Notamacropus eugenii: one gene and its partner. The protein of the gene in region 2 binds, or shares a complex with, the protein of the main gene of each other region. Links are inferred from orthologs where the notes say so. Each region holds a gene or a part of one and is shown on either strand. Other genes may lie near its edges.

What was found. Proteins that work in one complex are often made in the same cells at the same time.
Region 1: MED19 (region 2) and MED21 share a complex: the UniProt entries of both Homo sapiens proteins name them as parts of the mediator complex. The link is inferred for Notamacropus eugenii from reciprocal best matches to the Homo sapiens genes MED19 and MED21.

What each region holds. Positions count from the first base shown.
Region 1 is NC_092874.1:178,501,404-178,508,654, reverse strand, and holds the start of MED21 (mediator of RNA polymerase II transcription subunit 21), read left to right. Parts: upstream 1-4,221; 5' UTR 4,222-4,798; coding exon 4,799-4,840; intron 4,841-7,251. UniProt on the Homo sapiens protein: Component of the Mediator complex, a coactivator involved in the regulated transcription of nearly all RNA polymerase II-dependent genes.
Region 2 is NC_092873.1:3,310,358-3,318,116, reverse strand, and holds the start of MED19 (mediator of RNA polymerase II transcription subunit 19), read left to right. Parts: upstream 1-4,722; 5' UTR 4,723-4,802; coding exon 4,803-5,136; intron 5,137-7,759. Other genes in the region: TMX2 (thioredoxin-related transmembrane protein 2), read right to left, coding at 72-132, 4,221-4,409. UniProt on the Homo sapiens protein: Component of the Mediator complex, a coactivator involved in the regulated transcription of nearly all RNA polymerase II-dependent genes.

The sequences.
Region 1 (7,251 bases), on a different chromosome or scaffold from region 2:
GGAGAGAGGAGAAGGTTGGAAAAAGCTACTATGGGAGTAATCAACAGACAGGTATCCGACTTCCTCTACCATTTGTAACCACCTGTAAAGGAGCATGGGAGATGTAAGATGATGCAGGCAACCCAGGTTAGGACTTTGAAAAGATGAAAACTGCAACCAAAAAAAGGTCAAAGGATTCTAAAGTAGCAGGCATGGTATATTTGAATTTGTTAACCATAAAATTAAGATTTAAGGGTGAAAAGTGAGGCCAGAGCAGAGGTAATGTACTGAGAGAACAAGGAGGAGAGGAGTGCCTCGATGTCATAGTAAGGATGAAGAATTGGTTTAGAAGGGAGACAGAGGGAGAGATGGAAGACTAAGAGTTTATGATGAGAGGGAAGACTTTATGTGTTTAAGATGATATAGCTAGCATAGTTAAGAATAATAGTAAGATCCAAGGTATGATCATTTCTACATGTGGTTGAGATGGAATGAAGGTAGGAGGCTGATGAATTACAATGCCAGTATATTTGATGGGGCATCAATATGCATAATGAAGTCTCCAAGTTCAATGGCAGGGATTTGAGCGGAGAGAAAACTTTGAGCTAGGTGGCAACCTTCTTCAAGAGGCAGGCTTACCTGAAATCAGATAAATGACTACAAGGATTTGGACAGAGCAATATATACAGACAGAATGAATGGAGAGAGACAGAGAGATTGTTGAATGATTGAAGCAGAGGGAAGAGCAGGGAATAGACCACCTCGTCCTCTCCTTGCCCTGTGTGTCAGGGAATATGAGAGAGAGCATATTTAGGACTGGAGAAGGTAGGCAGAGACGCAGTGCCTTTTAGAGAGACAAGTTGTTGAGAGTCCAAGAAGGTGACAAGTGTGTGAGAAAGTGGTGAAAGATGAAGAGAAATTTATTAAGAACAATGTGGGAGTTACAGAGAACTCAATGGGAAGGGAGGCCAGAACAGCAGAAGGATTTGGGAAGAACAGGGCAAAGGTGGATAGGGAAGAGGGACTGGGGAGTAGTTAGAAAAGAGGATTTTCCCCTTGGTGGACATTAATTTTGAATCTTGGGCAATTGGGGAAGAAAAGATTGGAGTTTGTTAACCATAAGACAGAAAAGATTGGAGTTTGTTAAACATAAGATGAAGTATCAAATGAATGGATCTCTCATGCTCAAGGGTCCAGCAGCGTTGGAGAGTGGAGTTAATGTGTAGTTTAGAGAAGTTCAGACTTTAGAATAATTTCTGGATACAGGGACCTCAGGGACCTGACTGAACACACAGTAAAGTGCAGTTTCTTTGAGTCCCAAGATGGCAGGGTATGGTGCCCTGCTGTCTGGACATCCAATAGTTACCAATTTGGAAGCCTTGTTACTTTTCTGCGATAGTCCAGGGAAGCAGGGCACAATTAACTAGGACCTCCTCCCAGGATCAATGATGGAGAAAAGGAGAACAGAAAATAGTAGGAGCGTTGGCATTAATGGTGGCCCCCACCTGGGTGTTCAGTGTTAAAGGGAGGCCTGAAGAACAGAAAAGAATAGGCTGAGCTTGCAAATCAGGGCAGTGTGTTCAGGCAGGAGATTCTAGTGGTGAGGAAGCTTAACACACCTCCTGGGAGAGGTGAAGCCATGAGCCTCCCGGCATTCCCAGCTGTTCTCCCCAGTTCCCAGCAGGTGTTCTCTATCGTCATTCTCTCCTGCAGCAGTGGCAACTCCTAGCTCCCTGTGGCATCAATGGTCTTTTTTTCTTTTTCTCTACCTCTCTCCAGAGGAAGAGACTCTTCCAGGTCTGTCTGCACAATGCAGAGGGAAATTAATGTTCTGAGGTTTGGGTTCTTCCAACCATCAACTCAAATGAATCACCAACCCAAGCTGCTTCTAAAGCCTCCATAGACCTCCAGACTCACCAAAGTTTGCTCAGGACTCAGCAACATAATCCCACCCCTTTCACCTTGATGCAGGAGTCTGTTACAGACACTGGGTAAAGAAAGAGTGAATTCACAGTCTAATCCCTCAAGCTTTTGAGAGTAGAATTTGGATAGAGTTAACTCAGATTACTGGAAGCTATTTCTGGCACAGTCAAGACAGGAGAACCAAGTACCTTCCCTCATTACTGGACACCAATTGTGGGCCTGAGAAAAATTAAACAATCTCCTTGAAAGCTTTAGAGTCCCAAGGGACTTCAGAAGTTCTCTAATTCAACTACCTCATTTTCCACATTAGGTAACTGAGGCCCAGATCTTCTCCAAGGTCACACAGGTAGTAAATACCTCAATCTGGTGTGCTGGATCATACACTACTTGGAGTCAGGAAGATACTTAACTGTGTAAGCCCGGGGAAAATCATTTAACTCTTTTGATCCATGTAAAATGGGAATAATGCAGAGGTGTGGTGGAGACCTAATGTAGTGTTTTGCAAACCTTAAAGCTAATATAAATTGTGAGTTAGTATTACTGCTAAGTGGTAGCTTTGTAAGATTCATGTTGCTCGAAGCAGGATCTGACTGGGCTGAATGTGTTAAGGTTTCAAACCTGGGAATGAATTCTTGGGTGAAGATGAGGTCTTGGCTCTTTGTGTATCCTTTTCAGGATTTATTCTACTACCATGGTTTCAGTTCTCACCTGTGGCCAACTTTCTTGATTGCAAAATATCCAGTGTGTCCATTAGGTAATACACGTCTTGCCTTCCAGCTGTTTTTTGGGAGTGCCCATGGGAACAGCCTGAAACCAGAAGTAACTGATGGAAGCATGAAATAGATGCATGTTGAAATGCAAACAATTTCCTTCTCTTTCTCTTCCTACATTTCATAATCTCCCTGGATAAAACAGGGTAGCAATAAGGAATACAATAGGGAAAGCAGTAAGGGCCACTGAGGGAGCTAGAAAGCTCTAGGTAACCATAATAGGAAAGTTAAGTCATAAGGCTGTAATCATGCTTGTGCAGGGTAGGGATCCTTAACCTGAGATCCATGAACTTGTTATTTTTTTATGTTGGATTACTGAATTTCCATATAATTGGTTTCCTTTGTAATCCTATATATTTTATGTATTTACGAATTTTATCTTGAGAAGAATCCCTAGGTTTCACCAGACTGCCAAAGGGGTCCATGAAACAGACAAGAACTGTTAGCAACTTCTCACTTAAGGCTTTATGGTTTACAAAGTTCTTTCCAATACAATATCACCTCATCCTCATTACAATCATATCAGTTAGGTAGAGAAGATATTATTATTCCTAATTTTAAAAGGAGTGTACACTGAGAGAACTCAAGTATGTTATGCAAGATCAAAGAGTAAATAACAGGACTGGGGTTAGATTCTAGGTTTCTCTGACTTTCTGGAGTCAGTGCTTTTTTCCACAAGATCTCTCTCAAGAACTTTGGATTTGATTGTGCAACATGGGAGACACTGGCACAGGACCACTCAGCATGGTGTGCCCACATCAGAAAGGGTGCTGTGCTCTATTAGCGAAGCAGAATTGAGACAGCACAGAGGAACCGTAGGATGTGCAAATTTGGAGTCACCACCCCAAATGTTCACCCAGACTATCTGTGCCCAATCTGTGCTAGAGCATTCCAAGTTTGTATTGATCTCATCAGCCACAGTCGTGCACACTGAAACTTCACTTTATCATGGTGATGTCCCTGTGGTCCTCTTCAAGAATGAAGGACAACAACCAACCAGCTAAGTACTAGAATTAAGGACACAAAGACAATAACATGGACCCTCAAGGAGTTTACATTCTAACTGGGCACATGGGTATATAAAAACAGATACAGAGTAACCCTGGAGAAGACACTGGCCCCTAGGGCAACTAGGGAAGACTTTATGTAAGAAAGTGGTGCTCCAGTTGCATTTTGAAGGGAACCAGGGTTTCCAAGAGTTGGAGCTGAAGAGGGAGAACATTCCAGGCATGGGGGGTACAGCCAGTGCAAAGGCATAGAGATGGGAGATGGGAATGAAGGGGAAGAACAGCAAGAAGGACTGGAGGATCAAAGCCAGCAGAGTTGGACTGCAGTGTGTGTGGAGGGCAGTAGTAAGAAGGCTGGAAAGGGAAGACAGGGCCATGTTGGGAAGAGCTTGAAATTCCAGAGTTTGTACTCGATGCTAGAAGCAACAGGGAACAGCTGGTATGTATTACGTAGGAAGGCGGCATGATTTAGGGAAATCCCTTTGGCAGCTGTGGGAAGTAAGACAGTTCCGTTGTCCACGGTCCTGGGGGATAAGGCTGGTGACCCAGCCTGGACAGGTTAGAGGTCAGGAACGACTGCGCAGGCCCAAGGAGCTGGGGAGGAAGGGCCGGTCAGAGAGGAGAACACGGAGTCACGTGGCCAGGGGGCGGCGTGGCGGGAGACGCAGCCTAAGCAGCCCCGCCTTCCTGCACGTGTCGCAGTCTTCCGGTAACCTCCCTGGGGAGGCTGCCTGTCCACTTAGGGGGACGGACAGTAAAGACTAGGAGAGGCTTTCCCGATTTCACCACATGTTTCTCCCTGTCGGACCTCACAAACTAGCCGGGGAGCCCCGGGCAAGTCACTTCACCCAGTCGGCTTCCGCTTCCTCAACCGTAAAACGAGCTGTGGAAGGAAACCAGTCCAGCGGCTTGGCCGACGGCCTCCCAAATGGAGCCACGAGGAGCAGGACGTAACGGAAACGACTAAACACAACAAACGAGTTCCACTCCCAGCGCCCGGCCAGACGGTGGCTCCGCCCCCTTCCCGAAGAGCAGTCCAGTGATTGGCGCTCCGCGCCGTCCAATCAGGCGGGAGCGGGCTATAGGAAGGGCTGCGGCGTTGGCGTCAGCGCTGGCAACATGGCGGATCGTCTCACTCAGCTTCAGGACGCCGTCAACTCGGTGAGGAAATGGAGTTGGCGTCGCTGCCTCATCTCTTCCTGGGCGGGTAACGGGGCGCCGGGGTTTGGGCGTTTTCTTTCTCCTCCCGCAGCGGCTGGGGCTGAGATGACGAGGTGAGAGAGGTGGCAGTGACCCGGCCGGGAGCCGAGCTCGGGACTGACCCAGGGACAGGGGGAGGGGCCGCGGCGTTGACCGGGGCTAGTGACCCACCGGAGACGTCATCGCCTTCGGCTCTCGTCGGTTCTTCCCCCTCCCCCTGCGCGGCTGGTCTGCCCCGGAGCCGCCCTCCTTACCTTTCTGGGGGAAGGGAGACGGGCCGGAGGAGAGTCCTGGGCGCCTCCCCGCGGTGCGGAGGAGGGAAGCGAGCGCTGCAGGCCCTGGGCGGGCCGTGCGACGGCGGTGCCCGCTCCTTCCGGGCTCGGGCTGCTCGCGAGGAGGGCTTTGTTTTCTACCCCCGGCTCCCAGACGGGGCTGCGGCTGCCCCCCGAATAGAGGAACAAGACGCTGTGCAGAACGGTTACGGGTGTGAATCAGTAACCAACCAGATACAAATATGTGCTAAACACTTTACGGTAAACGTTGATCAATAAATGCTAAGCACCTCATGTGCCAGGCACTGTGCTAAGCGCCTTCCAGATATTAACGATAAATATTAAGTTCCTTCTATGTGCCAAGCTTCCTGCTATGTGTTAATCGGTGATCAGTAAGCATTCATTAAGCACCTTCTATGGACCTGGCCCATATCTAATAATATTAAGAGATGTTCATTTAATCCCCTCAATAGCCCTGGGAGATAAGTGCTAGTATGATCCCCATTCAAGGAAACTGAGGCAGACAGGTTAAGTGACCTGCCTTGGCACGTACAACTTCCAAGTGTCTGAAAGCGAATTTGAACGCGGGTCTTTTTGACTATAAGAAGCAGTTTTATTTAGGGCTGCCAGTGTACTTTACAGGTTGTCTTATCTCTGTTGGCCCAAATGTACTGGGGATCCACAGTTAAATAACTCTTATATGCGAAGAAGCTTTGTGTGTGTTTTCATAGTAGATTTTCACAGAAACTATTGAGGGAGTTATTGTTAGAGGCAGCTAGTGACGGTGGGCCTGGAATCCGGAACACTCAGTTTGCTCTGTGGCCTCCTTTCTTCAGCTGTAAAGTGGGAATAATAATGACACTTATCTCACAGAGTGAAATGAGATAATATTTGTAAAAATGATCTTAGCACGGTGCCTGGCTTCCTAAGTCCAAGTCCAAGTCTGGTGCCCTTGTCCACTAGCCACCTGACTGCCACTTAATTGGGCTTGCTGAACAGTGTGGCAGCAGGGTGAAGAACCTTCAGTTCCTGATCATCGAAGTGTGATTGTTCAGCCAGGATTAACTTTGACATGGCATTGCAAAGTTGACCCTATTTTAAGATAATTTTACGTATGAAAAATAGAGTATTGAGTAATCTTAGCCATTGTCTTCAGAAGGGAACTTAGGGAAATTGAGGTGGAAGTGGAAGTTCATTCATTTGGCAGATAATGAGTGTATACTGCATGCACAACCCCACTAAGTTCTGCAAGATACAGTTCTTTCCCTTGAAAAATTTAGCGTTTAATTGGGACAAAACATGTACACATTTTAAAAAGTAACAGTACAAAAACAGCATATTAATTAAAAGCCAACATGAATGCTACTCAAATCCTGTGGGTTCAAGAAAGTAGAGATTTGCTTGTTCAAGAGATTTAGAAAGGATTCATGAAGTCTAAATGAATCAGAAGATATATTTTGGGGAGTGATGGAAATATTGGGTAGGGGAGAGATTATTGAGAGCTTTGAATTTTATGTTGAGGGTGATAGGAAACTGAAAGATTTGAAGCAGTGGTGGCTTGATGAAAGTGGTGTTTTTAAAAAAAATAAATTCTATTGGTATACTGAATAGATTAAAGAAATATGAGACTAGAGACATCAGGAATCTATTGCAGTAGTGCACAGGTGAACAGAAGATTGAGTAGTGGGAATGGAAAATAAGGGACAGATATGAGATATTTTGAAGGAAAATATTAATATTGTTAACAATAAAAGAGAAGAATCATAGGATCATAGCAATAGATCCAGACCTCAGAGGCTGTTAAAAACTCAAGTATGGATCAATAGTGACAGGGCAACCAAAAACTCTAAAATGATCTAAGACCTAATTTATAGAATAATCTGTTTAGAGCTAAAGGGGATATTAGAGGTCATCTAGTCCAACTATTTCACCACAGAGAATAAGTGATTTCCCTTAGGTCTCACAGTTAATAAATACAAGTATAGCATCTATAAAAAGAGGTGGTAGTTCTGTTTTGGGCATCTAGGTGGTACAGCAGATAGAGTGCCTGGACCGGAGATAGGAAGATTCATCTTCATGAGTTCAAATCTGGACGAAGAC
Region 2 (7,759 bases):
ATCCCCCCCCCACCCCCACCCCCCCCACCCCGGCTTTCCAGAAAAGATAAAGAGCAATGGGCCATACTCACTTGATCTCCGGTTCTTCATCATTACAATGGCACTGAGGAACATTAAGATCTCCACCTCCCTCTGTAAGAGAACCACAGTGAGCGCATATGAAAAACCAAGGTGGCAGCAAGCCAAGAGATCCAAACCAAAATTGAGGCACTGACTCAGCATGGGACCCATGGAGAATTATGAAATAATCACAAAGTTGTAGGAAAACTGATACAATGAAATATCGTGACATTTCATTAAATTCATATATATTTAAATCAAAATATTTTTCTCCTGCATATAGAGTGATATATAATGATCCTCTAAAGTTTGAAAAGAAAAGTAGTACCTTTTCCTCTGATGATAATATCTAGGTTACACAATTTCATGCTATAAATCCCCTTGGGCTACTTGCTAGGGGTGTGGGATGGTGAGGGATCATTATATTTACAGACTATGTCTCAAAGCACAGGAAAACTGTGAAACTATCCATGCCTATGAAACCTGTATCAATGCCATCCATCTACTCACCAAACATAACTACTTCTGTATGGAGGACTTAAACCTAGCAAAAAGCCACCAACTTGGAAGCAGCTCTCTGAATGAGGTGAACATCTGTGATCACTAAACTGCCAACAGTCCATTCAGGAAGAATTTGGAAAAAGATACTTTCATACTCAAATACAATCATATTTCATTACGGGTAACCAAATTACTCTAGGCTTAGGAATAAGAATTTTCCAGGACAAGTTTCTTGTCTCTTTTAGGAATATCACTGTCAACAGCAGAGCAGTCATTCAACCTGCTTCAACCCCAAAGAGGTAAGCAAATGAGCCAAAATCAACATGGACTTCAGCACACATCTGAAATCTGAATTTTCTGTCCCAATTCTCTGTCATCAATGAAAGGCAGAGGGAGCGAACACTGGTGAGTCTCATGCTTGAAGCAGAAGCTAGAGAAGGTGTCCATCTGCTCAGTCATTTATTATGTGCCTACCATGTGCCGGATACAAAGAAAGGCAAAAGACAGTCTGCCCTGGAGGAACTCATGGTTTAATGGTGAACTACAAGTGTTCAAAGTAGGAGAACAAGTCTGAGGTCAGACACAGCAGGACAGCAGGAAAGAAGAGACAGGGAAGAAAGAAGGGGGACAGGGAAGACAGTGTAAAATTGTTCACAAATTCAGAATTTGACTGTGGGTAGGGACAGCCTCACCTGTTAGACATTTTATAAAAAGGGAAGACATTTCACCTCTCCACACTGGTCTGTTGAAAGCCTCAGCTTCAAAGGTGGAAATATGGCTTAGAACAACAGAAACAAACATCTAATAGATGTTTGCTTGTGAGCAAAGCATTGTGGTGGATCCTGGAGGGGTGGAGGAGCTCATAAAGTTTAGCTAACCACCTCAAAGTACTTTGTGGGGCATGGGAAGGAAAATCTGGTGAAGGAAAGGAAACTTTGCTCAGGTGAGGAAGCTAAATCCAGGAATGGTGAAATGACTTGTCCGAGTTCACACAGATATTATGTGCCCAAGTACAAAACAGAATACCGCCTGAATTATGGGGGTGGGGAGGATAAGGGACAGGAAGACAGACTTCTAGGAAGGCTTCCTGGGGGAGGTAGCATCAAAGTTGGATTTTAAACAAGTAGGAATTCAAAGAGCAGAGGGGGAGAGGGAGAACACCCCAGTAATGAGAACAGAGTAACACATGCTGCAGGGAGGGTAGGGAGTAAGAGACAAAGCTCTACAGTTTGGTTGAAGCAAAGTGTACCTGGATGGGAAGTCATAGCAAATATAACAGGAGGGGTGGAGAAACAGCAGGGTAATACCATGAATTTGGAACTTGAAAACGCAATAGGCTTTTTATAGGCAAAAGGTCTAATTTCTAAGTTACAGAGAGAACTATTTGAGTAAAAGCCATTCCTCAAACAACAAATGATCAAAGGATCTGAATAGGCCTCTCAGATGAAGGAATCCATGCTATTAATAGCTGCATGAAAAAATGCTCCAAACCACTAATCATTACGGAAATGCAAATTACAACAACTCAGAGGTTCTACCTCACATTTATCAGATTGGCAAAATTAACCAAAAATGGAAAATAACAAATATTGTAGGCCTGTGGGAAAAAAAAAGGCAAAATGCACTCTTGCGGGAGCTATGGACCGGTCCAGTCATTCTGGAAAGCCATTTGGAACTTATGTCCACAAAGCGATTAAACTGTTCATATATACACTTTGACCTAGCAATACCACTACTATGTCTCAATGGAAGGTAAGAAGAAGAGGACCCGTATGTACAAAAATATTTATAAGCAGTTCTCTTTGCCATAGCAAAGAACTGACAACTGAAGAAGCGCCTGTCAGTTGGGGAATGGCTGAACAAATGATGCTACATGAATGTGACAGAATGCTAGTGTGTGGTAAGAATGATGATGATAACAGTTTCAGAGAAACCTAAGAAGACTTGTATGAACTGATGCAGAAAGAAGTGAGCAGAACCAGAACAATTATGTAATAACAGCAACACTGGAAAGGTAAAGAGCTGCGAAAGACTTAGGAATTCTGATCAAAGCAGTGAGCAAACACAATTCCAGAGATCTCCTGATAAACTGCTACCACATCCTGAAAGAGGAATGAAGAATGAGACCAATTTATTTGGTCATGGTCAATGTGGGAATTTCTTTTGCTTGATTATATGTTTATAACAGCGGTTGTTTTTTTTTTTCGTTCTTTCTCATGGAGGTAGGATTTGGGGCAGGGAACTGGAGTTGAGATATTGACTGAAAAACAAAATTTAATTTAAAGAAAGGCAAAAGGGAAGATATTTTCACCTGGCATAACATAACTCAATCTCTGGGCAAACCTATTATACAATGGCATAAAGGACATACTGGAGGAAGGAAAATAGATGCAGAAAAACTTTCTAGGAAGTTATGACAATATTTCAACAGGATGATAAAGAGGCTAGAACAAGGATGATGGCCATGGGAGCAAAAACAAGAGATGGAGAGGAGGAATGTCATATATTTCCTCTGTGAAACTTGAGTTCTGAGGAGTGCAATAATCATCTTTTTCACCTTGGTAGTCTCATGTGAAGGTTGTGAGGAAAGAGCTTTGTAATTACTACAGAAATGGGAGGGAGGGAGGTATTCTAATTTATTATCATCATATCAAAGATACTCTTACTTGAAGACCTTATTAATCTCCTTTAGGATGGGATGAAGTGCTACATATACAACAGACACTTAATGAAACATGATATACTAGAAAGAACCCTGGACTTAAGAAGTCCAAAAATCCAGGTGTGTGTGCCATCTCCACTACTTATTAACTTTCTGACATTTGTCAAGTTGCTTCCCCTCTATATGCTTCAGTTTCCCCAGCTGTAAATTCAGGTATGGGGTCCGCTGTGACTAAGCTTGGAAAGGCAGCATGGGTTAGTGAAAAGACCAATGGATTTGGAGTCAAAAGACTGAACGGTCGATGAAAAGATCAAATAACTTTTACAGACCAGAACGATGAATGACAACAGTTAAATGACCAACACATCATCCTGGGGACTGGAGAGAGCAAGCTACTCACCTCCTGAAAGATGACGCACTAAACGTGAAGGAAGAGATGGTTTTTTTGACAAAGCTAATACGGGAATTAATTTTACTCGGAAGATTTTTTTAATGAGAAGTGGCAGGAGGGAGAGAAAATTGATTTTTGTCCTTTAAAACTTCACGGTGAGCCAATGGAGAAGCTGGTCTTCTGCTCCAGCAAGCGCCCTCCCCTCCCTGGGCTCCAAGGGCGGCGGTGCTGCTCCGTGCAGGCTCTAAAGGGACACGGAAAGGAAGGCTGCCGCCCTGGGAGGCGGCAAGGGCTTGTTTCCTGCCCGACTCTGTAACCCGGCTTCTCGCCGCCCCCTTCACTTCCAGACTGGCTTTACAGCAGAGGCCGCGGGATCCTGGATCTGGGCCGAGGCATCCGGGCCAATTCTCCCTCAGTCCTAACGCGATGGAAGGCGCTGCCCAAGGTCACGGCGGTGGCACCGGGTGGGCCTGGGCTCTGTGGGGCAATTTTTCCCGCACCTCCCGATTCGGTCGGGCCTGGCTCAAGGCTCCTGCCCCCCCGGGGCTCCGGAGGGTCATTCCCACCCTGCCCTTCGGTGACCCTGGGGCCACCTCCTCCGCTCACCCAGTCAAAGTCGCAGGGGTTGCCGTCCTCGCGCTGCGTGGGGAGACCGAGGCAGACCGGCGGCAGCTTCCTCACGAGCAGGAAAGCCACCGACAGGAGCGCCGACAGTAGGTAGTACGGCTTAGCCAGCCATCGCGAGAGCCGCGGCACCGAGTACAGCAGCGCCAGCAGCGGAGCCAACACCGCCATCTTCCTCCCCCTAAAGCAGCAAGCGCCACCACCGCCGCAGCAGCTCAGCCAAAGTACCTGCCGGACGCCGAACCGGTTCCTCGACCTCCTGCCATCCGGGCTTTCCAATTGGGCCGCCCCTCTGTCTCTCCGGAACCTCAGCCTGAAGCTGAATTATGATTGGATGTAGCTGAAAGAACGGCCTTTCTGAAAGGCTGGCCTCTCAGGGCTTCCCTCTTTGATTGGATGCTGAGAACAGGGTGGGCGGAGAGATAGGCGTTTTCTGGTCACTGAGCTACATTTCCTTTACGTCATCTTAGAGCGACGGAAGTTCTTCGGCCAGTGGAGCCAGACGCATCCAATAAATAGAGGCGCTAGGAAGAGGAGGGCGGTGCTGCACTAGAGGGTGGCCCAATGAGAGGCCGCGGCGGTGCTAGACTCCGAGTGGGCGGAGGCAGAAGCGGCAGCAGAAGTGGCAGCAGCGGCGGCGGCGGCGCCGGCAGAGGCAGAGGCAGAGCGGTCGACGCGATGGAGAACTTCACAGCTCTTTTCGGTGCCCAGACTGAGCCGCCGCCGCCGCCACCGGCCGCACTGGGTTTTGGGCCGGGGAAGCCGCCCCCTCCTCCGCCTCCTCCTCCGGGTGGGGGCCCTGGAACTGTCCCGCCGCCCACCGCGGCCTCAGTTCCTCCTGGTGCTGACAAGGCCGCAGCTGGGTGCGGGCCCTTCTACCTGATGCGGGAGCTCCCAGGTGAGTACGGATGCTCTTGGAAACTAGCCAATCAGCTGCTAGGGAGGGCTTGACGGTTGGGGCTGTGGGCCAATGAGCGGAAGCGACAGATAATGGGGCAAAGAGGGCGGGGATATATAGGTATTTCTGTCAATCAGAGAGCCGAAGGGGCGGGACCGAATGAGCGGGCCAGCCAATGAACGGGCTTGTGGAGTCCAGGCTAATAGAGTCTAGAGGACCCGGGTTCTAAACTCCTGAAATTTTTAGCTAGCGGTGCTACCGCGGCCTAGTAACCATGCAGTAAACGCTTGTTGGGTCTTTAAAGTGCCGTATGAATTGTCTGTTGGTGGCTCGTCACTCAACCTTTGTCGGCCTCAGTTTGCTCATCTGTAAACTGGATTTCATAATAGTAGCACCTCATCTTCCAGGGTTGTTGAGGGGGTAAAATGGGTGAGTCTTCGTAAGGTGCTCCATAAAGCAGCCTGTGACATTCGCTATGGAGACCAGGGTGGCTCCTCCTGGTGAGCTACCCAAGTAAGACAAGTTGTGAAGAGACCGGGGCAAGGCAGGATCTAGCGCCTCAAACCACCTCCCAACACCTCCTAACGTCCTGCCCACTGTGGACTGGCGCATGGGCAGGTAGTCTAATTTATGCGGATCGCCGTCTCAGTGCAGACTTGTCTTCTTTGACTAGCCGACAGGGCCCCGCACTTCCAGCAGTGGGGAGAGGGCTTGTGGTGTTTTTCAGGAATGTCGTAGGGAATGACCTGGCTGGAGGTTCCCATGAATAGGAGCATTCATCACAGTGCGGGGCCACTAAACGAAGCCTGCAGACCTACCCTCACTTGGCAAGTTAAAGAGGAGTCCTTTCACAGACCTTGGGAGCATTTGGAACCATCGCAAGATCAGTATAGGGGTGGGGGAGACAGTGACAGCTAAGCTCAATATTGAAGTTATTCATAATCTTGAAGAAAAAGAAGAGTGGATGGCCCTGGGCGGCAGGAGGAGAGAGGAAAACTGGAAGCAGAATGGCAGATTTTAAGGTCATAAGTCTAGGAAGTAAAGGGAGGTTAGATATAAGATCTAAGAGATATATGCAAAGTATCAACAGAACTTTATGATTGTTTGGATGTAGGAGCAAGAGAAAAAGAAGAGTCAAAGATGATGTTTCAAACCTGAGTGACACAGAAGGGTGGTCTTTGGTGCAGTAGAAAGTGTTGAATTCACTACAAAAATCAAAATTTGAAATCCTGACTTTGCCACTGATTACCTTTGGAACCATGGACAAGTCACTTAACCTGTTTGGATTATTAACCTCTCGGTTCTCTGTAAAATGAGGGAGTTGAACTAGATGGTTTTTAAGGTCCCTGCTCACTCTTGCTCTAAAACTACTCTTCTGTGACCATTAACAGAAATTGATAAGTAAGAAGATGGTCGTATAGAATAATATTTCAGGGGAGGGTGGTGAGTTTCGTTTTAGAAACGTTGAGTTTGTCAAGATATAGAAATGATTAACAGATAAATAAAATATCAAAGGCTATTCCCCAGTAGATAAGTGGTAAAAAGAATATGAACAATTTTCAAAAGAATTGTAAACTATTAACAACCATATGAAACTATGCTCCAGGTCACTAAATAAGAGAAATACTAAACAAAACAACCCTGAGGAACCTCATACCCTGCAAATTGGCAAAGATGACAAAAGGTGGGAAGTCAGTGTTAGAGCAGTTGTGGGTAGATATCACTAGTATATTGGAGCTGCAAATTAGTACAACCAAGCCATGCGTATAAAGTGACTAAAGCGTCCATATGCTATAAGAAATTAAGTATAAGATGAACACAGAAGGATGGAAAGATCTACATGAACTAGCGAAGACTGAAGTAAGCAGAACCAAGGAAACAGCGTATGCACACAATCACTACAAGGTAAACAGAATCAAAAGTGAATGGTGCGAAATTATGAAGAACAAGCCTGGCGTGAAAGAAGATATGAGTCCCACCCCATCCACAAATGTACATTGTACATATTTTCAGACCTTTTCAGTTTATTGATCAATTGTGCTGATTTTTTTCCTCTTATTCTTAAATTTTTTTCTTTTATTTAAAAAATGTTATTTATTATCTGGGGGGGAGGAAGAATATTGGGGGAAATTATGGTAACATTAAAAAGGGAAGGAAATGGAATAAGCATTTCTGTAGTGTCTACTATGTGGTAGGTACTGTTCTAAGTGCTTTTTTTTTTAATATCTCATTTGATCTTCACAATAACCCTAAGGTAGATGCTGTTATTATCCTCATATTACAGTTGAGGTTATTGAGGGTCACACAGCTAGTAAGTGTCTGATTCTGACTTTGAACTATTGACTCCAGGCCCAGCCCTCTATCCATTGTACCACCAGCTGTGATCAATCAAAACTTAATTTTTATTTTAAAAGATTAGGAAAAAAAGAAATATTGAACTTGAGTTGACTGGAGAAACCAAGTAGAATTGTCTCACAGCAGGTTGGAGGTATAGAATTGGAGTTTGAGGAAGAAGTGAGGATTGGAGATAGAGGTGTGTCCATCCTCCTCAGAGGCAATATTGGAAGCAAGAGTATAGCCGGATGAGATTGCCAAGGAAAAAGTAAAGAGAAGAGGGCTAAGA